Linked DNA regions of Elephas maximus indicus. The protein of the gene in region 1 binds, or shares a complex with, the protein of each later gene. Links are inferred from orthologs where the notes say so. Each region holds a gene or a part of one and is shown in the gene's direction. Other genes may lie near its edges.

What was found.
Region 2: the proteins of SPIN1 (region 1) and SPINDOC are in contact, whole or in part, in a crystal structure (PDB 7CNA), measured with the Homo sapiens proteins. The link is inferred for Elephas maximus indicus from reciprocal best matches to the Homo sapiens genes SPIN1 and SPINDOC. Residues at the interface, in NP_006708.2 of Homo sapiens: Met154, Thr169, Tyr170, Glu171, Pro174, Pro206, Val209, Val210, Leu213, Lys216, Gln217, Val218, Glu219, Tyr220, Thr229, Val232, Val242, Tyr243, Ile245, Phe247, Asp249, Asp250, Tyr254, Val255, Tyr256, Asp257, Leu258, Val259, Lys260, Thr261; in NP_612480.1 of Homo sapiens: Phe256, Ala258, Pro259, Ala260, Val262, His264, Phe265, Thr266, Asp267, Ser269, Phe270, Pro271, Gly273, Phe274, Val275, Leu276, Gln277, Leu278, Phe279, Ser280.

The regions. Positions count from the first base shown.
Region 1 is NC_064827.1:124,887,242-124,898,981, reverse strand, and holds the start of SPIN1 (spindlin-1), read left to right. Parts: upstream 1-7,438; 5' UTR 7,439-7,523; intron 7,524-7,845; exon of another isoform or gene 7,846-8,059; intron 8,060-8,481; exon of another isoform or gene 8,482-11,406; intron 11,407-11,740. UniProt on the Homo sapiens protein: Chromatin reader that specifically recognizes and binds histone H3 both trimethylated at 'Lys-4' and 'Lys-9' (H3K4me3K9me3) and is involved in piRNA-mediated retrotransposon silencing during spermatogenesis.
Region 2 is NC_064825.1:127,006,358-127,016,906, forward strand, and holds the start of SPINDOC (spindlin interactor and repressor of chromatin-binding protein), read left to right. Parts: upstream 1-5,518; 5' UTR 5,519-5,735; coding exon 5,736-5,862; intron 5,863-9,983; coding exon 9,984-10,313; intron 10,314-10,389; coding exon 10,390-10,548; intron 10,549-10,549. UniProt on the Homo sapiens protein: Chromatin protein that stabilizes SPIN1 and enhances its association with histone H3 trimethylated at both 'Lys-4' and 'Lys-9' (H3K4me3K9me3).

The DNA.
Region 1 (11,740 bases):
CTCCAGCCTTCTTAACCTAACGCCATGCCACCGCTGCCTCTCCAATAAAAGTGGCTTCCCATTATCAAGTATTTGGGTTGCTTGCTGTTTGAGAAATCATTTTTTTCCTTTTCATGACACTACAGTCTGTTCCTATCCTTTCCCAAAAGTTTATTACAGTAGCTGTCATGAATTGAACTGTGTCCCCCCAAAAATACATGTCAACTTGGTTAGGCCATGATTCCCAGTATTGTGTGGTTATCTTCCATTTTGTGATCGTAATTTTATGCTAAAGACGATTAGGGTGGGATTGTAACGCCACCCTTACTCAGGTCGCCCCCCTGACCCAAGGTAAAGGGAGTTTCCCTGGGGTGTGGCCTGCATCATTTATCTCTGAAGAGATAAAAGGAAAGGGAATCAAGCAGAGAGTCAGGGACCCCATACCACCAAGAAAGCAGCACCAGGATTACAGTGCGTCCTTTGGACCTGGGGCCCCTGAGCCTGAGAAGTTCCTCAACCATGGGAAGACTGAGAACAGGTACCTTCTCCCAGAGCAGACAGAGAAAGACTTCCCCTGGAGCTGACGCCTTGAAATTGGACTTTTAGCCTACTTTATCATGAGGAAATAAATTTCTCTTCATTAAGGCCATCCGCTTGTGATATTTCTGTTATGGCAACACTAGATAACTAAGACATTAGCCTTTTCAGGAGATTGCCTATATTTCAGATCTTCTATTCTAAATTCTCTCCTAGATAGTACCTGATTGATTCAACAAAATCCCCCCAAAGCCTGACTGAACACTTTCCCTTACATGTGTGTAATTCTGCAGCTTATATTATTCCTTTTGTTCTCTGAATACCCCTGTAAGAGTGGCTAAGGAGAATTCAAATCCCCCAGTCTCCTGGTATTCAAGGCCCTTTAAAAGCTCATATAAATCCAGACAACCCAGCACTCTGAGAACAAGTCAGACATTAATTTATAATAAATAGTTGTTGAACACTTACTGTGCTCTAGGGATTATACTGATAGTGAAGCCAGATAAAGCCCTCTGGAATTTATCATGGGATGAAAAAACCAAAAAACCAAACCCATTGCTGTCAAGTTGATTCTGACTCACAGTGACAGCGTAGAACTGCTCCACAGCGTTTCCAAGGAGCTCCTGGTGGATTTGAACTGCTGACCTTTTGGTTAGCAGTAGTTCATGGGATGGAGGAACACAATACACAAGGCAACAAACAAATCAATACTGTTTGTAATTACAGAGGGGGATGGATGCTGTGAAGGAAAACCAACAGGGATGTAGGTATGAGAAAGAGAGCTGGCAATCTGCTTGTGCAGGTGGTCAGGAAGGCTTCTCTGAGGCGGAAATATTTAAAAGCATTTGTCTGTCTCCTGTGCAGAACCTGACCTGGAGGGAGAGGTAGGAGTGAACCAGGAGAGAGTGATAGGAACCTAAGTAGTTTAACCAGATGGCTGCTCGGGCTGTTTCTCCCTTTGAGTCCTCCATTCAGTGAACATTTTCTGAGCACCGCATGATGTTCCCTCCATCAAGTATAAACATATATGCTGTCCCCTCCAGAGGCTAAAATGCAGTGCCTTGTGCTCCTTGGAGTCCAGCTGATGTCCATTAGGGCAAGTGAGTGGAGGGTTCTCCTGGATCTCCTCTACATCCAGCAGTGCTGCCAAAATGACAGTTTCAATGGCTTGAGAGAAGCTCGAAGGGACATGGCATTGTAATTTGTGATTTTGCAGAGGCTCCAGGAGCAAGTTGTTAAGCTGGAAAAAAAGAAAAAGACTGTGGAAAGGTGTCTTCTAAGAAACATGTTCTTGGTAAGACAGAGGCCCTGTGTTGCCCTTTTAGTCTCTCTGGTGCCATACTTTCAGGGAGTAGAGGAAACTGATGGGCTGCTTCAGTGTGTGGTCTTAGTGCTCTGAGGCCCCTGGGACGATAAATGGCCAGGCCCTTCCCTCCAGAATTGAAGGGGTGGGGTCTCTACAGCCCTCCTGGTTGAGATGGGACTAGACAGGGGATTGGGGTAGTAGAAGGGGTCAGAGGCCAGGGGATTGGGCCTACAGGTGAGGCCCCTGCCAGAGCCTATGTTATCATTTCAGTACTCCTGGGTTTCTTTCTAACCATGTTTGTCTGGGTAAATCCTTCTACAGACCCTCAATGGTCTTCCACAAAGTCTTCAATGAACCCCTTCTCTCTAGGCATACATGGAAGAGAACGAAAACAAACCATCTGCCTTCTGGGAGCTTAGATGAGAGATAATGTGTCAGCTGGTAATAAGAGGCATGGGGAATGCATTCTCATCCATGCCCACTTCCTGTAACCTGGGGTGGACTGGATACCTGGAGAGGTTCCAGACCAAGCTAGGCATCACAGTTGGCTTGTTTCTGACCCAGCTCCTTCCTGTGCCCCCCTAATCCCTTTCCCTCTCTTTCTGGTCCCACTGCTGACCATCCAGGCTGGCTCTGGTCACCTTGGCCATGGACACAGCCCTAGATCCCATGTTTCCTCCTACAGAGTGTGTGAATCAATTGTGGATCTCAGATTTGGCCAGGGTACCTTATTAGGACTAACACTGAACAGCAGCCTCTGGCCTAGTTTGGGCCACCATCTTATCAGGATTCACATGCAAGGGTTGTCAAATCTACATTATTATCCTCGGTGGGAGTGGCAGAGTCAGCCTAAGCCCCAAACGTATTTAGTGCCAATCTGGTCCGTTCACTAAGTGCGAGAACCCTGATAGTTCCCAGCTTGATCCAGACTTGCTGTCAATTCTCTGTATGATAAAAAACGAAACAAATAAAAGCTAACAATTTCTTAGTACTCTCGATGGTGTAAGCAGTGGTACAAAGGTGTATCGCTGTGCCTGTACCACAGTGAGTTCTGAGGAACTGTCAGCTTTTATTTCTGTTACACGGGGTCACTAAGAGTCAGAATCAACTTGACGGCAGCGAGTTTTATTTATTCATTTTTTGGTTTATATGTATACACGCACATAACGTATGTATGTACGTACCCCTGTGAGTCTGTCAGTTTGTCATACTGTGGGGGTTCCCGTGTTGCTGTGATGCTGGAAGCTTTGTCACCAATATTTAAATACCAGCAGGGTCACCCTTGGTGGAGAGGTTTCAGCGGAGCTTCTAAACTAAGACAAACTAGGAAGAATGAGTTGGCGGTCTAATTCTGAACAAAATTAGCCAGTGAAAACCTCATGAATAGCAGGGGAACACTGTCTGATATAGTGCCGGAAGACGAACCCCTCAGGTTGGAAGGCACTCAAAATATCACTGGGGGAGAGCTGCCTCCGCAAAGCAGAGTTGACCTTAATGGCGAGGATGGGGTCAAGCTTTTGGAACTTTCATTTGCTGACGTGGCACGACTCAAAATGAGAAAAAACAGCTGCAAACATCCATTAATAACCAGGATGTGGAATGTACAAAGTACAAATGCAGGAAAACTGAAAATCGTCCAAAATGAAACGGAACACATAAACATCGATATTCCAGGCATTAGTGAGCTGAAACGGACTGGTATTGGCCATTCTGAATCAGACAATCATATGATCTACTGTGCAGAGAATGAGAAACTAAAGAGGAACGATGTAGCATTCATCATCAAAAAGAACATTTCAAGACCTATCCTGAATTACAATGTTGTCAGTGATAGGATAATATCCATATGCCTACAAGGAAGACCAGTTAATACGACTATTATTCAAATTTACCCACCAACCACTAAGGTGAAAGATGAAGAAACTGAAGATTTTTACCAACTTCTGCAGTCTGAAATTGATCAAATCAAGATGCATTGATACTTACCGGTGCTTGGAATGTGAAAACTGGAAACAGGAAAGAAGGAACGGTAGTTGGAAAATTATGGCCTTAATGATAGAAATGATGCCTGAGATCACATGATAGAATTTTGCCAAGACCAACAACTTCTTCACTGGAAATACCTTTTTTTAACAACATAAATGGCGACTATACCTCACCAGATGGAACACACAGGAATCAAATTAACTACATCTGTGGAAACAGATGATGGAAAAGCTCAAAATCATCAGTCAGAACAAGGCCAGGGGCTCACAGTGGAATAGTCCATCAATTTCTCATAAGCAAGTTCAAGATGAAGGTGAAGAAAATTTGAACAAGTCATGAGAGCCAAAGTACAACCTTGAGTATATCCCACCTGAATTTAGAGACCATGTCAAGAATAGATTTGATGCACTGAACACTAATGGCCAAAGACCAGATGTGTTGTGGCACGATACCAAGGACATCATTTATAAAAAAAGCAAGAGATCACTAAGAAGACAGGAAAGAAAGAAAAGGCCAAAATGGTTGTCAGAAGAGACTATGAAAGTTGCTCTTGAATGCAGAGTGGCTAAAGGGAAAGGAAGAAATTATGAAGTAAAAGAGCTAAACAGATGGTTTCAAAGGGCAGTTAAAGAAGACAGAGTAAAGTATTACAATGAAATGTGCAAAGACCTGGAGTTAGAAAACCAAAAGGGAAGAACACACTTGGCATTTCTCAAGCTGAAAGAACTGAAAAAAAAATTCAAGGCTTGAGTTACAATACTGAAGGAATTCTATGGGGAAAATACTAAACGATACAGGAAGCATCAAAAGATGGAAGGAACACAGAGTCACTGTACCGGAAAGAATTAGTTGACATTCAACCATTTCAGGAGGTAGCGTATGATCAAGAACTGCTGGTACTGAAAAAAGAGGTCCAAGCCACCCTGGAGACACTGGCGAAAAACAAGGCTCCGGGAATTAAGGGAATACCAACTGAGATGTTTCAACGAACGGATACAGCACTGTGCCAGGAAATTTTGAAGAGAGCTACCTGGCCAACTGACTGGAAGAGATCCATATTTGTATCCATTCTAAAGAAAGGTGATCCAACAGAATGCAGAAATTATTGAATAATATCATTAATATCACACACACAAGTAGGATTTTGCTGAAGATCATTCAAAAACAGTTGCAGCAGTACATTGACAGAGAACTGCCAGAAAGTCAAGCCAGATTCAGAAGAGGATGTGGAACCAGGGATATCATTGCTGATGTCAGACGGACCCTGGCTGAAAAAGAACACTAGAAAGATGTTTACCTGTGTTTTACTGACTACGCAAGGCATTCAACCCTGTGGATCGTAACAAATTACGGATAACATTGAGAAGAATGGGAAATCCAGAACATTTAACTGTGCTCATGAGGAACCTGTAGTTAGACCAGGAGGCATTTTTTTGAAACATGGTTTAAAGTCAAGAAAGGTGTGGGTCAGTGTTGTATCCTTTCACCAAACTTATTCAATCTGTATACTGAGCAAATAATCCAAGAGGCTGGACTATATGAAGAAGAACACGGCATCAGGATTGGAGGAACATTCGTTAATAACCTGTGATGTGTACAGACAACACAACCGTGCTTGCTGAAAGCGAAGAGGGCTTGAAGCACTTACTGAAGATGAAAGACCATAGCCTTCTTTGTGGATTACAACTCAACATAAATAAAAATCCTCACAACTGGACCAACAAGCAACATCATGGTAGCGAAGAGACTGACGCTGCCAAGGATTTCATTTTACTTGGATTCACAATCAACACCCATGCAAGCAGCAGTCAAGAAATCAAGTGACGCATTCATCTGGGCAAACCTGCTGCAAAAAATCTCTTTGAAGTGTTAAAAAGCAGAAATGTCACTTTAAGGACTAAGGTGTGCATGACCCAAGCCATTGTGTTTTCAATTGCCTCATATCCATGGGAAAGCTGGAGAACGAATAAGGAAGACTGAGGATTTGAGGCCTTAAAAATGAACCAATCTGTCTTGGAAGACATACAGCCAGAATGCTCCTTTGAAGCGAAGATGGCTAGACTTCATCTCACATACTTTGGACATGTTATCAGGACCAGTCCCTGGAGAGGGACATCATGGTTGGTAAAGTAGTGGGTTAGCGGAAAAAAAGGAAGACCCTCAAGGAGATGGATTGACACAGTGGCTGCAATAATGGGCTCAGGAACCGGCAGTGTTTCCTTCTGTTGTACACAGGGTGGCTATGAGGTAGAACCCACTGGAGAGCACCTAACAACAACATACGTATACATGTATATAGGTATCTTGGCCCTTTTGTTGGCGTGTAAACTTCCTGTTCCTGCCAAACGTGTCCTTGGAGATGAGCGCTTAAAGCCAGCGCATATCAATCGTGCTTGGAAGACAATGTGCCAGTATAATCCCAAAGAGCACTGCTTACTAACAACTGTCCTGCAATTCAGAGTGCACAAAGTGCTTTCCAACAATCCGTTTTGTAATTCGACCTGACAACATTCTGGGGGAAGGTTTATTACCGTTGGGCTGCTACGGCAGCGCTTTCGCGCTCTAGGAAACACGGAAGCAGGGTGACTGACTGGAAGACACACAGGGCTAGTGACTGGGTGGGGGATTCACGTGGAGGCGTAGGTGGGGGCGCTGGTATTCAGACCTAGATTAAGCCTCCGAGTTCTGCTGTCAAGTCGGAACTAGTAAAATGTTCTGAATGCTTCCTCTCCCCCTACTCCTGCAAGGAACAAATAAATTATTCAAAAGAACGTCTTCGTTTAAGCTGAAGTCAAAGGCATTAAAGTGCAATAGGGGGAGTTTCTGGCTCCTAGACTCGCAAGTCGAGCTGATTTAGTCCTTGTTTTCGTGGAGGGGGCTGGGAAAAGGTTTCTAGCATTGCAGAACTCACAACTCCCTACACAACCTCGGGAAGGCCAGATATTTTGTAGATGAGGATTTGGGGTTTACGTTAACCTGAGATATGTAGAGAGAGGCTTTTTTACACGGCAGTAGCATTGTGAGGTGACCCGAGGTACGAAGCTGTGTAATCAAGCGAATCACAGGAAACAAATTTACTTTTATAAAGAGCTTAACTTCTGCAGTCTTGAACCTAAAACCTACGTTACTGAAATTTAGCTGGTGTAGCGTCCGTCGTTCAAAACTCACCTTTTTTCCGGATATTCTTGCTATTTTATCCAGTTCCATAAATCTTTGGGGTGTGCTGTTTAAGGACAAAGAGCACCTCATCATTTCTTAGAAAGTCTTCGTAGGAAACAGGAACCAAATTCCTCCAAGGCGGCCTAACTTTCCGTAGAAACGATGTCACTCCAAGGTTCCGGGAGCTCTGCACTCTTCACGCCACCCTCGACCCGGAGGCGATGCTGGCCGGTAGCTCGCGGCTCGCACCTGGAGGCTCCGACTGCCTGGCAGGCTGTGCGGACACTCCGCCCATCTTTTCAGGTGAGCAGCCGCGAGGCCCCGCCCCTCCCGAGCCGGCCCGGCGGCGCGTGCGCAGCTCTTCCGGGCTCGGTGCGGGCCGCCGGGCTGGCGGGGCCGCCGCAGTTCGGCGGGCCCAGTGCGCGTGCGCCGCGGAGGCCGGGGGGCGGGGAGGCGCCGTCTGGCTCGGGTTTGGGCCGGGGCGGGGAGCTTGAGAAGAGGGACGGCGGGAGCCCGTGTGGGGTTTGCGGACGGCAGGCCTCTGGCGGGTCGGCAGGTGAGGCCTCTCCGCCGCGGGCGGAAGCAGGGGCGCCTGGGGAGCAGCATCGCTGCCATGAGAGGTGTGCGGGCGTGAAGCGTGCGTCGGCGCCGCTCTTTGGCCTCAGGCGCAGGCGGGCGGGCCGCAAGGCTACTCTGGCTGCAGTCGGCGCCCTGTCGCGCCCAGGTGAGAGCTGCCGGACCGCCCGGCCGGCCGACGCCCGCCTGGCTCCCCGGCGTCGCATTGTCCAGTGCCCGGGCCGCGCCTGCACAGCGCCCCCTGCCGGCCGGGACGCCTGCGCGGGGCGGGGGCCGCCGGGGCCTCTGGCGCCGAGCGCGCGCTCCTTTGTTCGCCGCCGCCGCGCGCCGGTCCCTCCCCGCAGCCCTGGGCCGCCGACGCCCTGCGAGTCCCGGCACTGCGCGCCCCGCCCCGCCTTGCCAACATGGCCGCCGCCGCGGCGCGCCCCGCGTCCCCCGCACCGCCGGTCCCTTAGCGCCCGCTTTTGTTACTCGGAGCCAGTGCTCCGCCTGCGCTGCGCGCCCGGCAGGGTTCCGGTAAGGCTCTGCGGGCCCAGGCCGTGTCAGCTGTTGGCGGCGGCAAACGAGCGGGACGGAGAGCCACGCGGCGCGTGGGGCGGGAGGGCTTCGCGCTGCGTATTTTCGAGGGCGGTGGGGGAGGGGACGATGCGCCAAAATCGTTGGCGGCGGCAAGATGTTCAGTGTTGCATAATAGCCCGGGCCTGTCCGCGCCCGACGAGGCTGGGCACCGGAAGGAGGAAGAGAAGCGGCACTACCTGGGCCCCGAGCGGCCGGGCGGAACACCGGATGCTCTCGCGCGGAGCCCGGGCTGGCGCTGCGGTGGGGCTTCTGGACCGGTGTCAGCGGCGCGTGGGGGGTTGCCGCGCCTCCTGCGGCGGCGGGTTGTTTCAGTAAATGGGTCAACTTGCACTTTTCGCTGCTCCTTCGAGGGTGAGGGATATTGTATGCTCACAATAGCGTTGCTTTTCACGTGGAGAGCCCTTAGCCCTTGGAAGTTGTTGAATTTACCGAAAAGGCGTGTTTTCTCGTCGTTCCAGTGACGCCCACTAGCACATTTCCGACCCTATGCGGTGCTCCGGCATTCGCAGCACCCTCTCCTGGCTCCGTTAAACACTTCGGCAGCCTTCTGTTGGGCATGAAATCGACGGTGGGAATATGCATTTCTTTTGACACTTTTTTTTTTAATCCATCAAAGTGACCTTGAATGTATCCTGTAAGGAATCTGTTCGGATGAATTTTATGATACGGAAGCTACGCAGTGCTTTTTGGTTTGGCTTTCGCTGTTAGATTCTTGTGTTGATTATGCATTCTGGATTTTACGGGATTGGCTTTTAGTAATGGCTTCAGTAGTAAATATTAAATAGGCTCCTCAGCTTATTTACTCAATTGTTTTTATATTTACTTTTTATAATTGAGCTGGGATTCCAAGTTTTGAAGAGGATTTTCCAAACATATCGAGGTGTTTTTACTCTGGCTGAAATAATTCGTTTGGCTATTTTACTGTGTATGTTAAAAGCAATACAGGACGCACTAAAGTGTTTTAAAGGATGTCTCCGGATAATATGACTTGTGCCAAAGAAAACATACATACCAAAATGTGAATACCTATGTAACTTTTTTTCTGGTAGAATATTCTGGAAGGAACTGTATATCTTCTGAGAGGATTGATAGAGAGTATAGTGCTTTCTACGTGACTCTTGTTAGGAAGTGAAAAATCTAAACCCAAGGATTTATGCCAGGACATACATTTGTGAAGATTCTTTAAGAGAGGTGAAATTTCAGAAAGAGATCACGTGAAATGAGGCGGCTTTCCCCTTGTCCGTCCAGCTTTAGCTAATGGGTAAAAACCAAAAAGACAGGAACGAGATAAACATAACTTAGAGAACGCCCATTATCCATATTTGATAATTATGTATTGAAGTTGCATAGTGTTTTTATGGATAGAGGTATTAGTTTATTGTGAGAGATAAAATTGAATTTATTTTTAATCTTTTGTGTAGTGAAATGATTACTGTTATGATATGAAGTGGATAAGGTGAGAGGGCCAGAATAAGTCTGTAGTCATCTCTTTATGTTTAAGATTTTTTTATTAAGACTTGCATTGCTCCCTGGAATTTCAGTAGTGGTTTCTGACAGTGCCTTTAATTACCAATTCAGAACAGAATAACACTACAAGATGTCAGTAACTCGGTTTTGGACTATCTGAAGCAGTGTTGTTGAATGTGCCATTTGTGGCAGTAATTCTAGGAGATGCTGCAGGAAAAAGGGGTGCCTTGGCCAAATAAGTTTGGGAAACAGTGCTGTGTCCTTTTCATCTCTTCTCGGGGTCACCATTCAGATTATCATGTCAAAAGTTCTGGTAAATATTCTAGTAGTGTTTTCTATATCTGACCCCAGAACTCTTTTTTTTTGTTCTGTTTTGGTGTAATATTTTTTAGCGCCCAGAATTCAGGAAACAGAGGTTGTTGCCTGGAACATACGTTTTGAAATGTTGAGCACTACAGTGAACTAATTTTGAACTGAGGGATCATGAGGTTGATGTGGTTTGTGTGTCCTGTGGATTTTATGAGCAGTACCCCAAATTTGGCTCTTACTGTATTTATGAAATTTGTTAATCCAAAATCTTAAAACTAGAAAACGTTAACTAGTTACAGTGTTCCCGCTTCCCAATGACTTAGATGATTGCACACACTGTTAACAGTAATAAGGTTACCAATTGTTACGATTTTTTTCCTGGTATGCTAGAAATTAAGAATACTACGGTTTTTGAAGAGCTAATCATTCAGATGATTTAGAGGTTAAAAAGAATGCTGTTGGGCATTTCTCTTCGTTAGCTGTTAGCAGACTCTTAATTTGTTGGGAAAGGGCAGTTAATATATATTTATGTAAATCCTTTTATTTATTGGATGCTAAATTGAATGTTTTTTTCCCTTTCCTTTGAATGAAAAGAAGTTAGAAGAGAATAATTTTGCCCAATTATTTTACTCAGCTTGAAAGGCATTATGGTTTTGTTAAAAAGTTGTGGGTTCTGAAGTTATCATAGCCTTTCATATCAGAAGAACCTGGGTTGAAATTGAGCTCCAGTACTGGTCCAAAGCCACAGAACTAATTCATCATGTATCCTTTTTTTTAACCTCTTATTCCCCAGAATGTACACCAGGGATGAAACTTACAAGGCTGTTTTGAGAATTACAGGAAATGGATCCATAGAATTCCCAGTACAGTTACTGAAGTATAGTAGCTGATGACAATAAATGTTGATTTCCTTCCCCTTCCTACTTTTGTGCTTTGCTGTAGGCAGTAAGGTCGCTATGAGTCAGAATTGACTTGATGGCAGTGGGTTTGGTTTATAGTCATTAGACCTGGTGGTGCAGTGGTTAAGAGCTGTCTTTGACTGCTAACCAAAAGGTTGGCAGTTCGGATTCACCAGCAGCTCCTTGGAAACCCCCGGGGGCAGTTCTGCTCTTTTCTTAGGGTGGCTATGAGTTGGAATCTACTCAGCGGCAACAGGTTTTTGTTTTTTTTTTTTAATAATTTTTATTGTGCTTTAAGTGAAAGTTTACAAGTCAGCCTCTCACACAAAAACCCATATACACCTTACTACATACCCCCAATTACTCTCCCCCTAATGAGACAGCCTGCTCTCTCCCTCCGCTCTCTCTTTTCGTGTCCATTTCGCCAGCTTCTAACCCCCTCCACCCTCTCGTCTTCCCTCCAGGCAGGAGATGCCAACATAGGCTCAAGTGTCCACCTGATCCAAGAAGCTCACTCCTCACCAGCATCCCTCTCCACCCCGTTGTCCAGTCCAATCCATGTCTGAAGAGTTGGGTTCGGGAATGGTTCCTGTCCTGGGCCAACAGAAGGTCTGGGAGCCATGACCACTAGGGTCCTTCTAGTCTCAGTCAGACCATTAAGTCTGGTCTTACGAGAATTTCGGGGTCTGCATCCCACTGCTTTGCTGCTCCCTCAGGGGCTCTTGGCAACAGGTTTTTTATAGTCATTAGAGTGATTTTTTTTTTTTTTTTTTGGGTCATGGTGGAGTAAACAACTTGTTGAGCCTCAGTGTTCAATTTAATTTTAAATCTATCGGGTGCCTATTTTATGCCTTGAAACTACCATAAATCCTTTCTGGGAGGAGTCATGTGCATACATAAACAAAGATTTATTTGTAAATACCTTTTACAGCCTAGTAGGGAA
Region 2 (10,549 bases), on another chromosome or scaffold:
CTTTTTGTTTTTCTCAAGCTGCTCGCAGGATTTTTTCTTTGTCTTTGGTTTTAGCGAGTGTAATTATGACATGCTTTGGCATTTTTCTTTTGGAGTCTATCCTATACAGGGCTTATTGAGCTTCTTGGATGGTCGGCTTTTCATCATTCATAATATTAGGGAAGTTTTCTGTCAGCAATTCTTTGGTGATCTTCTCTGTGTTTTCCATTGTCTCTCCCTGTTCTGGAACTCTGATCACTCGCAAATTTTTGCTCTTGATTGTATCCCACATAATTCTCAGGGTTTCTTCATTTTTCTTCGTTCTTTTTTCTGATTTTTTCCTCAAACAGAATTGTATCCAAGTGTTTGTCCTCAATTTCACTGAATCTGTCTTCCACTGTTTCAAACCTGCTCCTCAGCCCTTCTATGACACTGTCCATTTCTGAAATCTTGTTGTTTATCTTTTAGATTTCTAATTGTTGATTTTGTATGATTTTAGTTGTGAGTTTATTTTGGCATTTTGCTTCTGTATTACTTTCCTAAATTATCCCATTTTTTTTGGTCTGTATTTTCCATGAATTTGTCTGCCTTATCCATAAATTTGTTTATTTTTCTCTGCTTTTTGCTTTAACTCTTGGCTAGCTGTGAATATTAGAGCTTTGCATTCCCTGTCAGGTAGTTCTAGTGCCTTTTCTTCTACTGGAAAGTCATCTGGTGTTTTATTTTGGATGCCTACTGGAACCATCCTCTCCTGTTTTTTTATGTTTTGATATTGTTTGCTGTCTTTGGGACATTCAGTAGTTATTTTCTTCATTTCTTGATTGTAGATTTATTTGTTTTGTCCTGCTTTTCTGTTTTATTTGGTTATGTCTGAGCAGGTAGGCTATGCCTTCTTTGTTGTTTGCTCATCAGTAGTCACAATACTTTTCATCTACTTGTCCAATGGGCAGGGCCAGTCAATCAGCTATGGTGCTGCAAGGAAGGTCCAGCTGAAGGGGAGGGGCTGGGATGGGTTGTTTGTGACATGTACTAGGGCTGACAAGGCGGGCCAGGAGTCAGTGCTGGGCAGCTTCCAGAAGGCTGTACCTGTGCTTCTTAGGGGTGTGATGTTCAGTGCATGGTGCACGTAGGCAGGAAAGATGGGGGAGGTTGTGATGTGTGGCGCTAATAGGGGTATGAGAAAGAAGAGAGAGGAGAGAGAAACAGAAGTGGGTGCTGTCTCCTGCCGGGAACTTCATTAAGCTGCTTTCCCATACTCTCTGGCTGCTGATCTCTGATGTGGGTGGGGCGAATCCAAGCGGCATGGACGCTACACTTCCCGGCCAGCTGAGCCACCACAACCAGCCAGCAAGCTGGGAGGCAGAGCAGCAGGGAGATCATTGGTGGTGGGAAAGTATCACTGGTTACCAGGTGATCTGTCTCCTGTTGGGAGTTCTGCAAAGCTGCTTTCCTGTGCTCCGTGTCTGCCAATCCCCAACAGGAGTCCAAGATGGCAAATCCATGCTGCATTAACGATGGGGCCCTCCGCACGTATCTCTCCTTGCTCTCTGTCCTCTGTCAGTTTCTTATTCCGTTTCGTGCTTGGTTGAGTTCTTTATCTCTTCATTTGACACTTCAGGTTCCAGGAATGACATTTGTCTCTGTTTCACTTAGTTTTTCAGGTCTTCACTATAGAGGGACAGTGTGATGCTTCTGTCTATGGTGCCATGTTTGCCAGAAGTCTCTCTTTTTGAATCTTGATTGGCTCTGCTGACAAAACACAGCTCACATCAGTAGACGTGCTGGCCCATACAGATTCAGGAATTAATGAAAATATAGCAGGATGAAGAAGGCTAGATCGAGTTGAATCATCATTATGTGTGACCAGTGCTTGGAAGCAGCAAGCAATCTCTTCCTTTTCAATCTATTCTAATTCAAAACACATGTCGGTAAATTTTTGGACATTGGGCAAACTTAATATTTCCCCCTTTACAGTAAATTGCAAATGACAATTCCGTTTACACAAATGATCTTGGCCCAACAAATTGACAGGAGTATCAGGACTAAGTAAAAGTCTTCAGTAGGACCAAGAAATATTGGATTGAGTTGAGAATAAATTTGGGCTTGCTCTTGTTTGGTAACTGCCACTACCTTTGAGATGTTTGTACTCCAGGGCAGGAACTTTTGCAAAACATTGGGGTTAATAGCACATAAGGTGACTCCATTGTTAATAAAAAAAAAAAACTGACATGGTTCTCCATTAATGTTTACAATAGTTTCCCCTTGCAGGTTAAGCACACCGTAGGAAAAGTCTCTGTTGTGTCCCCAGAGCCTCTTCATTCCATGTTAGGTTGACAGACTTCTTGTTGCCAAGTTTTCATTTTGTTTTTAAATCTATAACATCCATTTTTCCAATGACCATGTTTCTTACAATAGTGGCAGATGCCAGCTTTGGGGCCATTAGAAGGTTTGGCATTCTTTTGATTTGGGACTGTAATTGCTGAAATTGAAGTGCCATAAATTTCTTAGCCTTTTTGTCCCTTTCAGCCTCAAAAGTCTGGGAAATTTAAAAGCCAAATAACTACATTCCACAATGGGGGCCCTTTATCAGTCTAATCAGTGCCGCTTAACCAAGGCTGAAATTTCAGGCATTAAAAGCTCCTGTTGCATCCAGAGCAGATAAGGTAAGACCAGAGTGTTCAGAAAACTTTTGAAGCAGTCTGGTTTGATAATCAAAACATCCTCATCTTTATTCTAATTACAGGAATGAATTTTTATCCAATCAGTTATTGGAGGAAAAACCTTGGGAATAGCCTCAAGTAATCTCTTACCCATTGCTCGACAATCCTTAAGCAGCTGTGTTATCTATATTTAAAGCTAAACTATTTTGGGATCTTTCCATTCAGTGTGTTCTAACCATAGCTGAGCTTCTCCAGGCCCAGTTATCATATGTACTAGTTGAAACAAATCTGGGACCCCAAATTGGTAAGCTTCAATAAGAATTTTAAACTCTTTAGCAAACTTGTAAAGCCCTTCAGGAAATTTTGGAAAATATTTCACAATGCCACATAACTCTGAGTAAGTCCAGGGAATAAAGGTAACACGGGGAAATTCCTCAGTGTTCGTAGGATGAATCTTAAAGGGCATTTCGGGTAAAGGCTCTTTGGTTTCTCAGGAAAAAAAGGAAGCTCAGACAGAGTGTTATTGAAGGAATAGGAAGGTAAGGGGAGTATAAAGGACAGATAGCTGGCAAAGGGGCAGATGGATCGGGAGCTGAGTTCTGACATTTTAACTCTTAATTTTGTTTGGTTAATTAAAAACAGTATCCTTCAGGGAAGCAGTTTTGCTAACTTGATGTCTTTGTAGACTTCTAAATACCAATCGAAATAGCCATCCCATTGAGGTTGTTTAATCTGGGAGCCTTTATTTTCTAATTTACTGGTCAGAAATACTAATTTAGATAATTCAAAAGAAGCCCAAAGTGGCCATTGATTTTCCAAACTATCTTTAGTGAGGTCATGCCAACCAGACAAAACACACATGTTAAAGGACCAAAGTGCTTGTTCATATAGTGGGCAAGAGTCCCACAGGGAGGCTCTGATTTGCCCTTGGAACTGGCATTTCCCATTTTTCTTCTGAAAGATAATAAAAGCTTACTTGCAAGAATAAAAACAAATCCTTAACAAAACTCAAAGAGCTACAGCACAAAGAATTAAACTCAGAAACCCAAATAGCTCAGCTGTTACATGAGCCTGAGTCCTCAACACCTCAGGGGTTGTTGACGGCAATGCACCTTCGAAGTCCTGTTTCTGACAATGAATATGTCAAAGAAGAAAATCTCATACACTGATAGGAGTAAGAACAGAGAGTTTTATTGAGGAATAGCAACTCTAGTTGGGCGGCATATAGTGAAAGTAGAAAGCACTCCGCTGTTCTGAACAAGGGCAGAGTTTTTATACACAGAGTTTAGTGTGACCAATACCACAGACATTTAAAAAAAAAAAATCTTTCATTTGATAATCTATTTTCTGACAAACATTTCTTGATAACAGTTTGAGTAAGCAATTTTTGAGAACATTTTCTTTACATGCCTCCTGGAATGTTTTTTGTACGTATTTTCCCAGAAGAACCACTTCTCCTTCATCCCCTCCCTTGTTTGCCCAAGAATGGTTCATGTTAACCCTTTATTGAGAGCCTGCTTCAAACACTGCTATGTTTGAATTTTGCTAACACAATATATACTATATTTGTGGGTTTTCACATTTAACATTTCAGAAATGTTTTTCCAGGTTGTTACTATCTTTATATCTATCCTTTTTGGTGCTGTCTACCACACCATCATTTAATTAGCCACTTCCTATTATCAGACAAAATGGTTATTTCTAGTGTTACTACAATTATATTCCTCCATTCAAAAATTTTGATTGCTCTTGAGTGGCTATTTGAGTTTTATCCACCTTCTTTTTCTCCTTCTTCCCTTCCTGTCACGTGGAGCCAGAACAGCTGTTGGCATCTTCCAACTAAGGATAAACTCAGTTCAGTAAGTTTGAGTTCAGTGGTTGTCTTGGTTTCTTAGTGCTGCTGTAACAGGAATACCAAAAGTGGGTGGCCTTATCAAACAGAAATTTATTTTCAGAGGCTGGAAGTCTAAATTCAGAGCACCAGGTCTAAAGGAAGGCTCTCTCTCTGCCCGCTCTGGGGGAAAATCCTTGTCAGAGATAAAAGCTGGCACATGGCACAGTCCAGCGTCATGGGAACAGGACTCTGGTCTTCGGGCTCCCAAGGGCTTGTTCTGTGACCTTCGGTAGGTCACACACTCTTTGGGCTCGCATTTAAAAAACAGACATTGTAATCGTGGCTGTGGTTTGTATGTGCCCACGTTCCACTCAGCAGCTCTTCAGCTTTGCATTCCCTTCTCCAGAGGGTTCCACAATATTTTTTTAAAGAACGGATATGCTAGGCAAAAAAAAAAAAAAAAGGCCAAAGGCCTCAGAAAAATACGTGCTCAAGGTCACAGACCTGGCAAATGAGGAAGAATTCAATCTCCATTTTTTGATGCCACCGCCCTTTCCACTCCCCTGCCTCCCCGCCCCGGATCTCTTCCCGCCCTCGGCATCTTCTGGGGTCGGAAGGCTTGTTCTGGGAGAGCCGCAAAAGCGACTCTGACAAAAATTCTGGTGCTGATGATACAAGCGTTTTTAATACCAGCAAACATGCCTGACTGGCATTTCAGAGGAGTACCACCACCCACTGGCTCCGCCAGCCGGTTCTCGACGCCCGCCGCTTGGGAAAGTTTGGAGGCCCTGATCCTCTGAGGCAATTGCACTGCGAGGGGCGACGGACGAACCCCTGCCTTCTCGCCTCCAGCGCGTCCTGAGGATTCTAACAGAGCCGCGCGCGCCGGGGGCGGGGCCAGACCGGAGGGGCGCGCGATTGGCCGCGTGGGCTCGGGGGCGGTGCATGACCGGGGCGGGGGCGGGGCCGGGAGCGGGCGGCGAGCGATTGGTTGCCCGAGTCCTGGGGCGGGCCCGGGGCGGGCTGCGGGCGGGTGCCGACTATGAGCCTCCATAAAAGGGAGCGGCGGCAGACTGGGGCCCCGGATTGAGCCCTCCCCGCCCGGGGTCCCGACGCGCCGCGGTCTCGGGGAGGCCTGGACGCTCCCGCCGCAGGCCGGGCCGCCGAACGACCGCGGCGCGGAGGGGGCTTCGCGGGCGGGAGGCGGCGGCGCCGCGCAGGCCCTTGTGTGGCATCCGGTCACCGCGCTCCCCAGCCACAGCATGGCTCTGAAGGCCGAGGGCGCCGCGCTCGACTGCTTCGAGGTGACGCTCAAGTGCGAGGAAGCGGAGGATGAAGCGGAGGCCGCGGTGGTGGCCGTAATTCCGCGGCCCGAGCCCATGCTCAGAGGTGAGGAGGGGAGGGGGCCCCACTTCCGCGTCGGGGCGGTGGGCCGGGGCCCGGGCGTCCTGTCGCTCCGCCCCCGCCAGGGCTTGGAATCTCGGGCCTCCCCGAATCCTCCCTGCCCCCACCCCCGCCAGGGTCTGGAGCCTTCGATACGTTCCCGGCGCGCTCGGGATCTTCCCGCGCCCGAGCGCCCCTTCGCCCGGCCCAGCGCTGGAGACAGGGTGCCCGGCGGCCCTGGATATCCGCCGCTCCCGGGAGGCGGCGGCAGGCTGGGGGCTAGGCTGTGTTCTGGGCCGAGGGGCCGCAAGGCCTCCAGGCCCGAGACTCGGTGCGGCAGCCTGGTGTTCGGAGCTATTAGGAGGATGGAGGCAGGCGTCGTGACAGCCTTCGAAGAGCAGAATTTTAAGGGCCCTTTTTTGCATGTATAAAGCTTTCCTGGCGCCCGAGGCTTCCCATCCCCAAGCTTCCCATCCTCAGACCTTCCGCTTGCATAAGCCACAGGTGTCAGATTCTAGTGCATCGGGGTGAATGGGACAGCACACAACACCCAGTTATGAAAAAGAGGTGCTTGCGGGGGGCGGGGTGGGGGGACGGGGACTCAGCCACCGGAGGAGATTGGCCTTGGGAGAGATTTGAAGAACAATCTGGAAATGCTCGCTTTCCCCTCCCACTCACCATTTCCTTTAGTCCCCAGCATCTCGAAAACCATAACAAAGGGCCACCTTTGTGGAAGACTTAATATTCATGAAAATTGAATTATCTTTATATTCTCCAGGCCTTGTGACAGTGGGACAGGAGAGGGGACAGGTTCATTCATTCGTTTAACCACAGATGAATATAACGTCTACTGTGTCTGCACTGCCTTTTCATCCTTTTTGGGATCTGGAGGGTGTAACATAAGCAAGGGAAATAAAGGCCACTATGGGTTGGGTTTTATCCTCCTCAGAGCTTTCAGCCCAACCATGCCCTTAGGGATGGTCTCAGTTAATCCCCTGAATAGCCCTGCAGGAGTGCTTTTATCCCCTCTGAAAGAAATGAGGAAATAGAAGTCCAGAAAGGTTAACTCATTCAGTAAACGTTGGACACCTACTGTGTGCCAGGAAAACCTGGTGGTGTAGTGGTTAAGAGCTACCGCTTCTAACCAAAAGGTTGGCAGTTCAAATCCACCAGGTGCTCCTTGGAAACCCTATGGGGCAATTCTTTTCTGTCCTATAGGGTCGCTATGAGTTGAAATTGACTCAACGGCAATGGGTTTGGGTTTTTTTTTTTTTTTTTTTTTTTGGTACTATGTCCCAACAGTCCCGGGTGACACAAACAGTAAGCATTCAATTGCTAGCCAAAAGGTTGGTGGTTTGAATCCACCCAGAAGTGCCTTGGAAGAAAGGCCTGGTGATCTTCTGAAAGGTCACAGCATCAAGAACCCTATGGAGCAGTTCTACTCTGCACGCACAGGGTCACCATGAGTTGAAATCAATTTGACAGCAACAGGTTTGGTTTTTGTTTGTTACGTTTTTTAGTATATGCCAGGCTGCTCTAGGCCGGGGATGCTAATGGCAGTAAACAAAGCAGACAACACCTCAGCCTTGTGGAATATGTGGATACAGACTAATAGCTAAAGACAGACCCAAAACCCACTGCCGTCGAACCAATTCTGACTCATAGCGACCCTATAAGACAGAGTAGAACTGTCCCATAGAGTTTCCAAGGAGCGCCTGGAGGATTTGAACTGCCACCCTTTTGGTTAGCAGCCATAGCTCTTAACCACTACGCGACCAGGGTTTCCTAAAGACAGATATTCAGGTAAATATATAGTAGCACAGGTGATGACAAGTGGTTTGGAGAACACTAAAGCAGGGAAAGGAGAAAAGAGAGTGGGACTTGGTTATTTTATTAGGTATATTGAGTGGTCAGAGGTGGCTTCTCTAGTAAGGCGAAGTTTGAGCACAGACATTGGAGACTGAGCACTAACCTTGTAGATAACTGGAGGAAGAGCATTTCAAGCGGAGAGAATAGCAAGTACAAAAGTCCTGAAGCAGAAGCTTCTTGAGAGGTTTGGGGTATCAGAGAAAGGACGAATTCTAGGTTTTTGGCCTGAGCAACTAGAAGGGTAGGTTTCCCATTTACTGAGATGGGGAAGGCTGGGGTGCAGGTTTTGTGGGAGACTGAGGAAGGAAAGTTTGAACGTAGTAAGTGTGAGATGATTATTGCACATCCGTGTGGAGACGTCTGGTGGGCAGTTAGATATATGGGTCTAGATTTCATGGAATAGTCTGGCTGGAGATATACACAGGGGAGTTGTCAACAGGCAAGCAATTAGAGACCATCAGAGGAAGGAGGTGGACAGAGAAGTGGTCCAAGCACTGAGTCCTGTAGGACTTCAATGATTACAGGCTGAAGATGGAGTCATTGCCTCATCAAATATTACTGAGGGTCACTGCTCACCAGGCACTGTTCTAGGTGCTAGAGGGGCAAGCGTGAACAAGCCAAAACCCACGTGGTCATGGAGCCTGCGGTGTAGTAAGGAGACACGCTAAAAGTAAAACACGCATTCATTCTGTCAGGTGGTAATATGTGCGGTGGAGGAAGATGAAGCAGCAAAGGGGGATGGATGGGTTTTAGGTGGAGGGAAGTGACAGCTTTCTGTAGGGTGGCAGAAGGCCTCAGTGAGAAGCTGGTTCTCCAACAGTGACCTGGAGGAAGTGAGTGAGCTGCGCAAATAGCTGGGAAGAGATGAAGGAGATGAGTGAGTCATGGCAAAGGTGACTAAGAGCACCAGTGAAGTAAAAGAACCAAGGAAAGGTGCTGCCCTGGAAGCCAAGTGAAAATCAAGGTGGAAGAAGTGATCCATCAAACGAAGTTTAAGAGCTCACCTGCTGGGATTAGCATCAGTGACCTTGACAAAAGCTGTTCGGAAGGAGTGGTGGGGACAAAAGCCCGACTGGAGCTAGGAGGTCAGGCTTACCGTCCGCAGTCCCATAGGTGAACTCAGGTTTGGATCTAGATCTTCTGATTCCAAGCTAGTGCTCACATCCATGTCATACGCCGCCTCTTCCATGTAGCCTTCCCAGACCTTCGCAGTCCTGCTTCCAGGTGTGGGGGCCCCCCTTGTTTGTATTTCGTCCCATTCTCTCACTTAAGAGTTTCCTGTTGCAGCCGTAAGGGATCATGGTCACTTGGTAGAAGCATTGAGCTGCCAGGCTGCACGTGGGGCTATTTTGCCTCTTGCCAAGCCAGACAGGAACCCTGCCCTGAGGGAGCTTGTGGTTCCTGTGCACAAAGATCAGGAGCCAGACAGACTGGCCTGTGGAGGCAGTACCACAGCTTTGAAGGGAGGCTGGCTCTGACAAGTTGGAGTGGCTTTCAGAAGAGCCTACACAAGTGGAAGAACAGGCAGGCAAGTGCATCGCCTGACCGAAAGCTCGCTGAATGTCTCCTCTCCGATGTGCCAGGCCCTATTGGGATGACAAGATGAGTAAATTTATCTTCCTCACCCTCAAGAAAATGCACACTATGGGCTGGAGGTCAGCTGTGGATACAGTCAACCTCCAGGGGTGGGAAGTCAGGAGGGCTTCACAGAGGCCATGACTTGAGCAGGGCCATGAGGGAAGGTGAGGAAATTTACAGCGGTGTCTGGACAGATGCGTGAAGGCTGTAGACATGCAAGAACATAGCCTAATGAAAAACACATCGACCTGTAGTCCGAGACTAGATCAAGAGAAGGTGTAAGGTAGCAGGATACCAAGAGGTCTGGTGACATAAATGATGAAGCTAACCGAAAAGTTGGTGATCTAAACCCCCCCAGCAGCTCTGCGGGAAAATGACCTGGCAATCTGCTTCTGTACAAGATTACAGCCAAGGAAACCCTACGGGACAGTTCTCTGTGGCATGGGATCACTATGAGTTGAAATCCATTTGACAGCACCCAACGACAGTAGCAGCAGCAGAATATCAAGGCATATAGACTGTGCTCAATGTGGGCTCCTAGGGAAGGGAGAGAAAGACTTTGGACAGGAATGCCCCGTCCCTCCTAAAGACACACACTCCACCGAGCTCGGGGTATCGTGCTCTAAGTACTATTGGCTGAGGATACTTTTGCTGATGACAGCCCCCTTCTCCCTCCACAGTGGCCCAGCAGGAGAAGACCCCACCACCTAGGCCCAGCCTGCTGGAGGCTGGTGGTGATGGCTATGAGGAGCCCAGGCAGCAAATGTCTTGGGAACAGGAGTTCCTGGTGGGGAACAGCCCAGGAGGCAGCGGGCGGGCACTCTGCATGGTGTGTGGTGCTGAGATCCGCTGCCCCTCGGCCGACACAGCCCGCACGCACATCCTTGAGCAGCATCCACACACCCTGGACCTCAGCCCGTCTGAGAAGAGCAACATCCTGGAGGCCTGGAGTGAGGGGGTGGCCCTTTTGCAAGACGTCCAAGCTGACCAGCCATCCCCACCCAGCTCAGGTAGTTGAGCCCGGAGCGGGGTGGGGAGTAGAACCTGTTGGAGCCCTCGGGGCTCGCTGACACTTGCCCCCTTTAGACTCAGGCCGGGATGTGGATCCAGACCCAGACCCTGATCCGGACCCTGCCGGGATGCCAGCTGAAATTGTTGTTCTCCTTGACTCCGAGGACAACCCATCCCTCCAAGCCCTCCCTAAAAGGACTCGACCCAGGGGACTTCGCCCCCTCGAGTTTCCTGG